Linked DNA regions of Macaca mulatta. The protein of the gene in region 3 purifies or fractionates together with the protein of the main gene of each other region. This does not show direct contact. Links are inferred from orthologs where the notes say so. Each region holds a gene or a part of one and is shown on either strand. Other genes may lie near its edges. The genes, in order: VCP, SERPINA1 and DERL2.

Evidence for each region.
Region 1: the proteins of DERL2 (region 3) and VCP purify together in Homo sapiens (affinity purification with western blotting; 4 studies listed by BioGRID and IntAct, with this or other methods). This does not show direct contact. The link is inferred for Macaca mulatta from reciprocal best matches to the Homo sapiens genes DERL2 and VCP.
Region 2: the proteins of DERL2 (region 3) and SERPINA1 purify together in Homo sapiens (affinity purification with western blotting; 3 studies listed by BioGRID). This does not show direct contact. The link is inferred for Macaca mulatta from reciprocal best matches to the Homo sapiens genes DERL2 and SERPINA1.

Annotation. Positions count from the first base shown.
Region 1 is NC_133420.1:64,665,590-64,669,450, reverse strand, and holds part of VCP (transitional endoplasmic reticulum ATPase), read right to left. Parts: coding exon 3,810-3,861; coding exon of another isoform or gene 3,787-3,809; intron 3,239-3,786; coding exon of another isoform or gene 3,199-3,238; coding exon 3,065-3,198; intron 2,987-3,064; coding exon 2,851-2,986; intron 2,539-2,850; coding exon 2,426-2,538; intron 2,027-2,425; coding exon 1,862-2,026; intron 1,771-1,861; coding exon 1,648-1,770; intron 1,373-1,647; coding exon 1,160-1,372; intron 662-1,159; coding exon 353-661; exon of another isoform or gene 296-352; intron 165-295; exon of another isoform or gene 80-164; coding exon 1-79. UniProt on the Homo sapiens protein: Necessary for the fragmentation of Golgi stacks during mitosis and for their reassembly after mitosis. Involved in the formation of the transitional endoplasmic reticulum (tER).
Region 2 is NC_133412.1:167,658,292-167,662,606, forward strand, and holds part of SERPINA1 (alpha-1-antitrypsin), read right to left. Parts: intron 3,971-4,315; exon of another isoform or gene 3,875-3,970; intron 3,086-3,874; exon of another isoform or gene 3,083-3,085; 5' UTR 3,079-3,082; coding exon 2,433-3,078; intron 1,112-2,432; coding exon 841-1,111; intron 1-840.
Region 3 is NC_133421.1:6,988,859-6,993,273, forward strand, and holds the start of DERL2 (derlin-2), read right to left. Parts: upstream 3,093-4,415; 5' UTR 3,049-3,092; coding exon 2,956-3,048; intron 2,111-2,955; coding exon 2,045-2,110; intron 1-2,044.

The DNA.
Region 1 (3,861 bases), on a different chromosome or scaffold from region 3:
AAGCACGCTGGCAAATCTCTGTAAGGTCAGCTCCAGAGAAGCCATTAGTCATTTTAGCCAGGAACTCCAAGTCCACATCCTAAAAGAAGCAGCAGAGCTACCTTAGCATTTAGCCTCTTCTCTCTTGAGATACACAGATCTTTGGGCCATCCAAGCACTCCCAACTAGTTTGCCCCTTCTTTGGCCACCCCATTTTATTCCTGATTCTAGATTATCTTAATACCCTCAAAAATTCTACCTTCCCTTTAGACCAACCCTAACCCCAAAGCAATCTTGTCCAGAACCCAAAGAGCACTCTATACCAGACTGAGGACTCATACAAGTCTCCCACAGCCCATGATCCTGCACCTGCCTTGGCAACTGGGGACTTGCGCAGGTTAGCCTTGAGGATGGCAACACGTGACTTCTCATCAGGAAGTGGGATGTAGATGAGCTGATCAAGACGGCCAGGTCTGAGGATGGCAGGATCAATGATGTCAGGCCGGTTGGTAGCGCCAATGATGAACACATTTTTTTTTGTGGACATGCCATCCATTTCTGTCAGGATCTGGTTGATGACTCGGTCAGCAGCCCCACCACCATCTCCAATGTTACCTCCACGAGCCTTGGCAATTGAATCCAGCTCATCAAAGAACAGCACACATGGAGCAGCTTGGCGGGCCTGTAGGAGGAATGGATTGATTCAAGCATTAACAAAACTAGATCTCTCGGCCAAACGTGGTGGCTCACACCTGTATTCCCAGCACTTTGGAAGGCCAAGGTGGGAGGATCACTTGAGGCCAGAAATCCAAAACCAGCATGGGCAACATACTGAGACTTCATCTCTACAAAAAATAAAAAATTAGCCAGATGTGGTGACGCATGCCTGTAGTCCCAGCTACTCAGGAGTCTGCAGTAGAATGGCTTAAGCCCAGGTTTCAAGGTTACTGTGAACTATGACTATACCACTGCCCTCCAGCCTGGGCAACAGAGCCAGACCCTGTCTCAATTTAAGAAAAAAAAAAAAAAAAAACAGCTCTCTCACACCTCAGAAAATCAAGTGACTTGCTGTCCAGTTGAGCAGCCAGTAATAAGAATGTTTCAACCGTCTTAAAGAAAAACAGCCTCTATTCCTTGTCCCCAGGCAAATCAATAGATAGCTCAGCCTATTGTAGCTCACCTTGTCAAAGATTTCTCTGACATTGGCCTCAGACTCCCCAAACCACATGGTGAGCAGCTCAGGACCTTTGATGGAGATGAAGTTGGCCTGGCATTCATTAGCAATGGCTTTGGCCAACAAAGTTTTCCCACAGCCAGGAGGTCCATAGAACAGAACTCCCTTGGAGGGTGTCATGCCAAACTTCAGGAATTTGTCTGGGTGTTCCACAGGATACTAGGAGGAAAAGGAAAGAGGGTTCAAGGTTACCTCCACCTTGTGAAAGAAACCTAACTAAACAGAAGCATGCCCTCCATTACTTCATGGTGTACCCAATGGTATCAGATCCAGGTTCTCTAGAAGCAGACTCCTTAGTGCCTCAAATCTAAGAAAAATAGGTTCCTAAGTCGTGCTCTCACATCTCTTGCAGCAAACGTGTTGACACCCTAAGATCACCAAGGTCAATTACAATGTACTGAGGCAGTGACTCACCCTGGACCAAGTTACCCTACCTGGACCAGCTCCTGAAGCTCACGTTTGACATCCTCTAGGCCCCCGATGTCTTCCCAGGTTACCTGTGGCACCTCTACCACGGTTTCCCGCAGTGCTGATGGGTTACTCTGGCTCAAGGCCCACTAGAAAAGGAGGGAAAACTGGGGATGAGACTTACCAGGGGAGGGGTCAAAGCACATATGTGTGTACCTGAGGCAGGGGTGTGGTCCTTACCCGGAAGTCATCCATAGTAACTGCTAAGGAGTTCATGACCTCGGCATCAATGGTCTCATCCTCTAGGTCAATGAGATCCATCTTCTTGCGGATGGCTTGCAGAGCAGCCTCTGAGCACAGGGCTGCTAAGTCAGCACCCACATGCCCGTGAGTCTCATTGGCTACCTGCAGAGAAAGATCTATTTACTGTGCTGCCTCAAAGACCCAGCTGCCGCAGGAGGCTCAGAGATAATAGAATGCTTCCCCTGACTGCTATCCCTGCGTCCTCTAATTTCCTTGAATACATATACTAGCAAAACCTTTATGGGCTGGGTTTTAAGTACTTAATCCTGGACTCAGGACCTAGAAATAAAGCTGCTCCAACAATTCTGATTTACTCTAAATGCAGCGTCAAGTGAGAAAAATGCCAACTCCAATTTCCTGGATTTAATCTCAGATTACCTCCTTTCCCCTGTCCAGAAATAAAAACCCATCTCCTCACATCAAAACCTTATGTCTCTAGCCAGTTCCCAGCAACTGCCTAAAGATATTGTAACGCCTGGTCAGCCCTCATCATCACTTCACCTGTTCCAGGTCCACATCATCTGCCAGCTTCATGTTCTTGGTATGGATCTGAAGAATCTCTAAGCGTCCCGTAGCATCAGGAATTCCAATATCTACCTCCCTGTCAAAGCGACCTGTGGGACAGTGCATGAACATAGACAGGGCTCGTTTCTAGTCCAGAGGTAAGAGACAGGCCTAGGGTGACCAACCATCTCAGCTAGCACAGGATTGTCCTAATGTTAGCAATGAAAAAGTCTCAACCCTGGGAAACCTTTCAGTCTCAGGAAAACCAGGGTAGATGGTCACTCTAGACAGGACGTAGGATAAAGGAAAAAGAAACCCAGATCCAATCACTGTGAAGGGCTTCAAGAGGATTAGGTGACTTAGATGAAGGAGAGAGGTAGGACCTAAGCAAGGACATGGTCAAAAGTATCTGGAGTCCTTACCAAATCGCCGTAGAGCTGGGTCAATGCTGTTGGGTCTGTTGGTTGCTGCCATGACAATCACATGTGCTCTCTGCTTTAGGCCATCCATGAGGGTCAACAACTGTGATACGATGCGCCGCTCCACCTCACCATGAGTCTGCCAGAACAGGATGTCTGGTCAGAAGTGAAGTCAGGGCCTTTCAACCCCCCACTATCCCCTCAGGTAAGCTCCTACTTTCTCTCTTTTGGGAGCGATGGCATCCAGCTCATCAATGAAGATGATGGCAGGAGCATTCTTCTCAGCCTCCTCGAAGGCTTTACGAAGGTTGCTCTCAGACTCACCAGCCAATTTGCTCATGATCTCAGGACCTGAAAGGATACAGAATGGAGGCAATAACAAAATGACAGTCTTTCCCAATTGCCCCCAAAAATCAGTTATCTTGCTTGTTTGGCCCAGAGACAGGTCCTGGGTGAGAAGGTGGTAACCTACGCCTACTTCTCAGATCCTCTACCAGCCATTATCCCAGGACAGCCACCAGGCAAGGCTGGAGAGAAGCCCAGGGACTCAGTATACTCGTCTCACAGTTGAACTAGAAGTATAAATGTGACAACAAATGCTCTAGCCAGAGCAGGAGAGATGGCACACCACTAAATAGCATTCTCCAAGAGCCAGTGATCGAAGTTCATTTTCCCCAAACTCTCTCAAATCACTAAGCATTCGCCCTTTGATTTCTCGTTCTAGTTTGCTCCTGCTCTTCAGTCTGTCCACCATCTTTCTCAAGGGGGGCAGGACAGGGAGCACCAGTGTAAAATATCTTCCCTCTATTGCTCATCTGTCTGTAACATACCCAAGCAGAAGAAATATGCTATAAAGGTGCAGGAGGGCATGGGTGCAAAAAGGATGTGTCCATGAGTGCTCCAGCTCATGAGCCCAGTTCAAATTGGGTCTAGCCAGACATAAGATGAACCAAGTATCTTACCATTTATCAAGAAGAAAAAGGCTCCAGTCTCATTTGCTACAGCTCGAGCAAT
Region 2 (4,315 bases), on a different chromosome or scaffold from region 3:
GTTTTCCATGGGGAGACAGAGCCGCCCCGAGCAGGGTCTGGTGTGAGCGGGCAGCCTGGCTTTGGGCTCTCTGATCAGTTACCCTCTCAGCCTCCTTGTTCTTTCTCAACCCCTGGAGCAGGGACCTCAGGAGGTGCTGGCGTGAAACAAAGAAATTCCAGCCTCAATTCCTATTATGAACCCAACACCTTTTGTATTTTCATCTTGGTTTTACAGTGTACAAAATAAACTAGATAGGAGGGCATGGGCATAATTACGAATGCACACAGACACACTAATGTGTGACTCATATTGGAGTATCATTTACTACAGGGCACCCAATCTAACAGCACCGATAAAGTGACAGAGAAACTCAAGCCTTTTGCTAACATGCCCTGGCTATTCCAATTTTGAACCTTGCTTTTCTGGGCCTAGCCACACAGGCTCTTCCCCCATCCCCACAGGGACAGTCTACCCTTGAACTCCACACTCCACTACTGCCTTTGCCAGGAAGCCCATCTGTTCCCTTTTGGTTCTGCCAGAACGTGTGGTGGTGCTGCTGTCCCTGTCCTGGGCACTGGATATTGGGAAGGGACAGTGTCCACGCTGGAGTGGGAAGTCCCCAAGGACGAGACCTTTACCTCGTCACCCCTGGGTACTGTCCTGCTCATGGAGCATGGCCGGTGCCACCTGAACTCAGTGGTGGCCTCATTCTGGAAGCCAAGTTTATGCAGAGTAGCAGTGACCCAGGGATGTAGTGTTCACCCTCTCCAACCCTCTGGTCAGTTCTGACGGGCCTCAGTCCCAACGTGGCTAAGAGGTGTGGGCAGCTTCTTGGTCACCCTCAGGTTGGGGAATCACCTGCTGTTTTCATTTTCCAGGAACTTGGTGATGATATCATGGGTGAGTTCATTTTCCAGGTGCTGCAGTTTCCCCTCATCAGGCAGGAAGAAGATGGCGGTGGCATTGCCCAGGTATTTCATCAGCAGCACCCAGCTGGACAGCTTCTCACAGTGGTAGATGTTAAACATGCCTAAACGCCTCATCATGGGCACCTTCACGGTGGTCGCCTGGTCCACGTGGAAGTCCTCTTCCTTGGTGGCCTCAACGTCAAAGGGTCTCTCCCATTTGCCTGGACAGAGAGGGTAAGGCGGGCATCAGTAGGGGTGGGTGAAGGTTTGGAAGAGTGTGGCAGAATAAAGGAGCCATCAGTCCCCTCCCTGAGAAGCCCTGAACCCCCTTGACGACACACATCCCTCAAGCCTCAGCTTCATCATCTGCAAAAGGTGCTGAAACCAACCATCCAGGCTGCCAAAAAGGTCTGTGTGGAGATAATTCAAAACTAGAGGAAGATGCAGAATTTCTACATCGCAGAGATGTAAGGCTAAGAGATGCCATCCTGACTGTGCATTTTATTGGAATCGTATGTTTATTTGAGGGTGTCTTGGATACTACAAATAAAATGTTGGAGCATCAGGCATATTTGTTACCTCCTGTCTAAGGCTCCCTGCCTCTTGTTAATTGGCAGCTCAGTTATTCATTCAGGGCAAACATTCTGCTTACTATTCCTGAGGGTTTTCTTTATCCCCTGGATTGGCAGGGGAAATGCAGATGCCTGAGCAGCCTCCCCTCTGCCATGCCAAGAGAGCTTCACCATCGAGGCATGCAGAGTGGACAGGGGCCTCAGGGACCCCGATCCCAGCTTTCTCATTGGACAGAAGGAGGAGACTGGGGCTGGAGAGGGACCGGGGCCTGCCCTAAGCCACAGCAGAGCCAGGACCCCAGTTGTGCTGACTGCAGCCTGGCTGCTCTCCACTGCCCTCCTTTGCCTCAAGAGCACCCCTCAGGGGCAGGAAGGCAGCCTGAGATACAGAAGAGCCCACCATCTACTGTATGCCACACTTTTCCCAAGGTGTTTGTCACTTGTTTAATCCTAAAAAAAACCTGACAGCAAGAATGGTATTTTGTCCATGCTAAGATGGGAAATTAGCACCTCCAGGAGGTAGAATGCATTGTTCGGTGTCAAAAGCTAATAGTGGTAGAGGCAGGATTTGAACCCAGGTCTTTCAGACTGCAAAATTGATACTGATTCTGGGACACTAGAGTCGTCTAAAGTACGTTCCATGAAACTATCCCTTTATGCAGTATATTACAATTTGTTCTATAGTTCTAAGCATTATATATTCTACATATACAGTACACACAAGGACATTAAAGGCTCTGGAAAGTTCTGCAGAGCTGTCAGCGGTTTTGACAATTTAATCTATTATTCCCTCAAATTACTCAATGATGGAAAACATTTTAGTGTTTGTGTGTAGAAAATTGAAGAGCCCACACTGACATGCATTTCTATAGCCCATAATGCATTGCCAAGGAGAGTTCAAGAGATGATGGTTTGAGAATATTTTTGGTTGTTTCTATGGAAACAGCTCAGGCTGGTTTTGCAACCTTACCTTTAAAGAAGATGTAATTCACCAGAGCAAAAACTGTGTCTCTGTCAAGCTCCTTGACCAAATCCACAATTTTCCCTTGAGTTTCCTTCTCCACGTAATTGTTGATCTGTTTCTTGGCCTCTTCGGTGTCCTCAAAGTTGACAGAGAAGGCTTCTGAGTGGTACAGTTTTTTGACATCCTCCAAAAACTTATCCACTACCTTCAGGCTCTTGTTGAGGAACAGGCCGTTGCCGGTGGTCAGCTGGAGCTGGCTGTCTGGCTTGTTGAGGGTATGGAGGAGTTCCTGGAAGCCTTCATGGACCTGAGCCTCCGGAATCTCCGTGACGTTGAAATTCAGGCCCTCCAGGATTTCACTGTGAGTGTCAGCCTTGGTCCCCAGGGAGAGCATTGCAAAGGCTGTAGCGATGCTCACTGGGGAGAAGAAGATATTGGTGCTGTTGGACTGGTGTGCCAGCTGGCGGTATAGGCTGAAGCCGAACTCAGCCAGGCTGGGGGTGATCTTGTTGAGGGTTGGGTGGTCCTGATCATGGTGGGATGTATCCATCTTCTGGGCAGCATCTCCCTGGGGATCCTCAGCCAGAGAGCCGGGGAGCAGGCAGCACAGGCCTGCCAGCAGGAGGACGCCCCATGAGACAGAAGATGGCATTGTCCTGCAAGACAGAGACGGGGGCCAGGCCCTGAGTCAGGGCACATGATGACTCCCAGTGACCCGGGATTGACACCACGTGGAAGTGCCTAAGGCTTATTAAACCAGCCTGTGCCAAGTACTTGCTGACATCAGTAACACTGAAAGAATCAGAAGAATAGCAAAATGTATGTAGTGCTTACCATATGCCAAGCACTGTTCTACGTGCGCACATGTGTTAACTCATTGCTTTCTTGTAACAATCCTGTGAGGTGCTGATGCTACTATCCTTCTTTTTCAGATGAAGAAACCAAAGCCAGAGAGATTAGGTCACCTATTCAATGTCACTGAGGAAGTAAAGTAGCAGAACCAGAATCCTACATCTAGGTCCTGCGCGCAGGCTCTGGACAGCTCCACTTACATCTGCAATGACCCTAAGATGCAAGTGGTACAGCCACTGTTTTACAAAAGAAGCAAATGAGGCATAAGAAGAGGAATGGGCCTGGCCACGATTATCCAGGAATCGGGCCAGATCAGAATGAAGAATCACGTCAAGCTAGAAGCCCTTGGAGGGCTTCTATCTAATCCCACTGTTGAGTGGCCAGGGACACTGCTGCACAGAAGGGAAATGCATCTTGCACAATGGCACCAGCTAGAGCATGGTGGGGCTGTGATTAAATCCCCTGGGAGCTGTTCGCCCCCAACACTCACAAGGATCCTCAGCCCTTAGGGTTTTTTCCTAAGAGAGGGGGCTGTCCCCACAATGCTCTGTGGTCCCAGCCACAAGAATAGGCTGATGTCCCTGCAGTCAGCTCACCTGCCATCTGGATCACCAATGGTGTCCCAGTTCTGGGCTCTTGCTGTCAGGGACTTTAGAGAAGCTCATCTCTCCTGTGAAGCAAGGCTTTGTGCTGCTTTAAAGGAGATGGGGGTGGTGGGAAGTGAAAAAGCATCTCTTTTAGCTTCAGATAGACCTGGGATCTAATCTGACTCTGTCACTTTCCAGGTGTATGAGCCAGGACACGTCATTTATCTCCCTGGTCCTCATTTTGCCTCATACATAAAGTGAGGCTGTTGGAAGAATTTAGTGAAATAAGTCTAGACACCAAACCTTACATCAAAAGGATCTGAGAGGGCAACCCTTTTGAGGGAGGGGTTGACAGGTGTTGCAAATTCAAAGCCTTCAGGTGATAGTCCAGTGAGGAATACATGTTTCATAGCTGGGGCTCAGACAATAGGGAGTGGTGGGGCCTGTGGC
Region 3 (4,415 bases):
TCTAATAATTACAGTCTACTTGGGAGATACAAGAACACTCATTTTCTTTTTCCTTTTTTTTTGAGACAGAGTCTCGCTGTCGCCCAGGCTGGAGTACAGTGGCACAATCGCAGCTCACTGCCTCCCACGTTCAAGCAATTCTCCTGCCTTAGCCTCCCAAGTAGCTGAGATTACAGGTGTGCACCACCACACCAGGCTAATATTTTTATTTTTAGTAGAGGCAGGGTTTCATCATGTTGGCCAGGCTGGTCTCAAACTCCTGACCTCAAATGATCCACCCACCTCAGCCTCCCAAAGTGCTGGGATTACAGGCGTGAGCCACCGCGCCCGGCCAAACACTCATTTTCTTGTTGGAAACCCTGATACACCCTTCCCTACCCAACCTCTCCACACCCACAGTAACCACTCACAATGGTAGAGTGCTTAACATTTTAAAATGTCTACTATCTGTTGTGATTCTGTGAGACAAGCAAGTTAATTCACAGATAGGAAACTAAAAGACTAAAAGTTGAATAACTAGCTGATACTAGTTATTCAGCTAAAAGTTGAACTACTAGCTGAACACTAGTTACTCAGCTGAAAGTTGAACTTTTAAATGTCCTGACCAAGGACCCGCAGGAGTAGATGGAGACTGATGGCAAATCTCAAAGTCCTAACTCCAAATGTCATCAAGAGTTTAACAGTTTAACCCCAGGCAGAGTAAAACCAAGCAAGCCAAGTAGGAAGCAAGACTTACTTGGATGGAACTACAGCTCCATGTGAGTATTGTGGGAACACAGTGACAAGAGATGACAAGACTACTTTACAAATCACTAAATTCTTGAGAATTGGTAACTATTAAAGTTGAAACAATTCAGTTCTACATATTAATTACCCAGATTTTAGAGTCCTCATCCTAGTGAGGAGACAAGCATACACATAACTGCAAAGTAAAGGTGAGAGATGCTCTAAAACAAAGGAGGATGAGTACATAAAGGTTACACAAAAGCTGCGTTTTGAAAGGCAAGCCAGAGTTCAATGGGTATAAAGTGAACGAAACACATTTGAGACAGAGGGAACAGCATGTGTAGAGGCACAATTATTGGCTTTTGGGTCTCTCCCCTACTCCAACTATGGTCTGTAAGATCATCTTGGAACAGAAAAATCCATGTTTCTTTTAGCATTTTGAGACAGAGTTTCGCTCTTGTCTCAGAGGCTGGCATAATCTCGGCTCATTGCAACCTCCGCCTCCCGGGTTCAAGTGATTCTCCTGCCTCAGCCTCCCCAGTAGCTAGGATTACAGGCATGTGTCATCACGCCCGGCTAATTTTTGTATTTTTAGTAGAGACAGGGCTTCACCATGTTGGCCAGGCTGGTCTCGAACTCCTGACCTCAGGTGATCTGCCTGCCTCAGCCTCCCAAAGTGCTGGGATTACAGGCGTGAGCCACTGCGCCCAGCCTCTTTTGACATTTTAATCACCGGAAAGGACCATCTCCCACTGTAATCTAATAAACCACCACATAGCTTTAGATGTTTGGAATTTTGTTAGTATGATCTGATCACTGGAAGACAGATCACAATTTAAAAGCACTAACAGAATTGAGTTTCTGGACCATCATGATAACACCAAGGTGGTGGGCGTGCCTAGGTGGTGAATGGACAAAATAAGGCCATCCCTGCAGAGACAACCCCTAAGCAGCTAGCTGGTCACTCTCCTCTCATACTACAACATTAAGTCTAAACCAGTGATTTCCGAATACAGGAACTGGACACATCAAAACGATGCAGGGAACTTTAAAAATGAAACACAGATTTTAATTCCTACCCTTGCAAATTCTGATTTGGTACTTGTTGAGGAGCTTGGGAATCTCTTCAAAGTTCCCTAAGGGATTCTCAAGTCCAACCAGGCTGCAGAATCACTGCTTTACATCCTGACAAGACAACTTATAATCAAAGGTCCCCCATGGGGTTCTTTTTTAGGATAGTGTACAACGGGATTTGCTACTAAACAGTAAGTAAAAGAAGAAACTGAAGCATTAATCACTATTGTGATGAACCACTTACTTGAAAGTGTTTAAAGATTAATTCAGGATTGAAGTACAACTGAAAAGGTGTGATCAATTCCAACTGCTGAAATAGAAAAAGAGCTTCTTAAAGCAAATCAACCAAGAAACAAAATTTCATCATTTACAACAAAGGATTAGTAGGTCTAGCAATTTCCAACTCTCGGTCAATTACTGATTTTCTTTAAGCCTTTCTTCTTAGGCCAGAGGAAGAGGTTGGTAAAGAATTCTCTAGAATTGGTAGAATTCTTTGTATCCTCAATACCTAACACAAAAAAGTTTATGTTGCAATAGTTGAGGCTGACATGAAGAAATGAGGCAGACAGGTGGTGATATTTTAGACACAGGACAAATAAAAACAGCTGCTATGAATCTACCCACCACATGGGCACCACCTGAAACAGCCGTGTGAAACAACAAAACTCACTTGAAATAACGGAGACTCGAGACCCTGCCACCGTTGGGGCTGGGTACCTCCAGCTAGCCCTTTGTTACCCAGAGACCCTCTTTATTATAAGCCACTCCCCTCTGGACAGTTTCCACCTTGCTTTCCTCATTCCTGTTTCTTCATAAAACGGACCTTCCTCTCACTAGTCACCACGGTACCACCTGGCCATTGGCAGAGCTCTCGGACACATTTCTCGGGTGGGAGGCTCCCGCAACCCTAACCCGGTATAGGTCCGGCCCTCATCTCTTAGAAACTGACCTGACCCCCCATGAAGCAGCACTCCCTTCTCAGGTCACTGGATAAGCATTCTCGGCGCCAACTCGAACCCCAGAGTAATCCCTGTACGTCTCCAACCATCCCCGGGACCAGCCCCTCTGGGCCTCCCCGAAGCCCAAACCCCAGTTTCCTGAAGACCCAGTCATATCCAGCCCAGATAATGAGAAGGTGGCACTGCAGCTGCTCACCACGGCGGCGGTGGTGAGGACGCAGGCCGTGGTGTAGGCGCGGCTGACCGGTGGGATCTGCAGGTACTCCAGCCGCAAGCTCTGGTACGCCATCTTCCCCACCGTCGCCTGCCCCCCTCACTTCCCCTTCCGCCAGCAGGCCCAGGCGGCTGGGCGGGACAAAGGCCTCCCCCGCGCCCGCTTTAGGGTTCCCGCGGCTGCCCAATCAACGCCAAGCAATCGGCCAGCCGCCAATCCGTAGAGACTTAAGGAAGGCACATCCGCCAATCACGAGTTGCGTGGCCACCGCCCCCCCCCAGCCCCCCAAGTACAGGTTCCTTCTGCCAATCCCCGCCGGCCACAGCTAACTTTCCCGCCCAGCCCCTTTCTGTCATAATTGACGTGTCCCCAACCAGCCAATCAGGAACGCGAGAGTATCCCGCGTTTACTTTCGCTCGCCGAGGCGCGTATCAGTCGGAATTTTGGGGAGCCAACCGCGCCGTCTGTCGCTGGCAAGCCAGCGGCGGTTTAAAGGAGGTGGCGGGAAGCCTGTGTGTGCTCGAATTCGTGACCCTCATGGTCGCTCCGGTAAGTACTGCGGGGCAGCATTTTCTCTGAGGAGAAGCGGGGACGGGCGAGACTGGCTTAGGCGGCATCGCGAGGGAGCGCGGCGGCCCGTGGGTCGGCCTTACAGCGGGCTCCAACCTGAAGGTCCCAGCATGCAGCGCGGGCTCGGGGCCCGACGGATGCCGGGAGCCGGCCGGAAGTTCCGGCGCTCTGGCTTCTGGGTCCTGTGCAGCGCGATCGCCGGGTCTTCGCTTAACTCACTAAGATGGCCTGGGCACCTCTGCGTTGAATCGGCAAATACTGATCAAGCCACATTTATTCTGCCTTCAGGAACTCTTTAAGTCTAGCAGAGAAGATGAGGCGGTAGAAGTTTATCAGCCAGTGCCCGAAGAGAGGTCCTGATGGGAATTAAAAGGAAGGAGTTAATCAAGGAAGTGTATTTTTTGTTGTTAGCGATGGCGCACATCTGTAATCCCAGCTACGTGGGAGGCTGAGCTAAGAGGATCACTTGAACTTAGGAGGCCGAGGTTGTAGTGAGCCAACATCATACCACTGCACTCCAACCTGGGCGAGAGAGTGAGACTTTGTCTCAAAAAACAAAAACAAAAATAACAACAACAAGAAAATTAGCCAGGCATGGTGGCCTGCACCTGTAGTTCTGGCTACTTGGGAGGCTGAGGTGGGAGGATTGCTTGGACCCGGGAGGTTGAGGCTGCAGTGATCCGTGATTGTGCCACTGCACTCCGGCCTGGGTGACAGAGCCAGAACACGTCTCACAAAAAAAAAAAAAAAAAAAAACAGAAATCCTACCTTACATATACGGCCAAACAGTTATAACCACTCTATATTTAGCCATTACAAACGTAAATTTTTATTTTATTTTATTTTATTTTTTGAGACGGAGTCTCACTCTG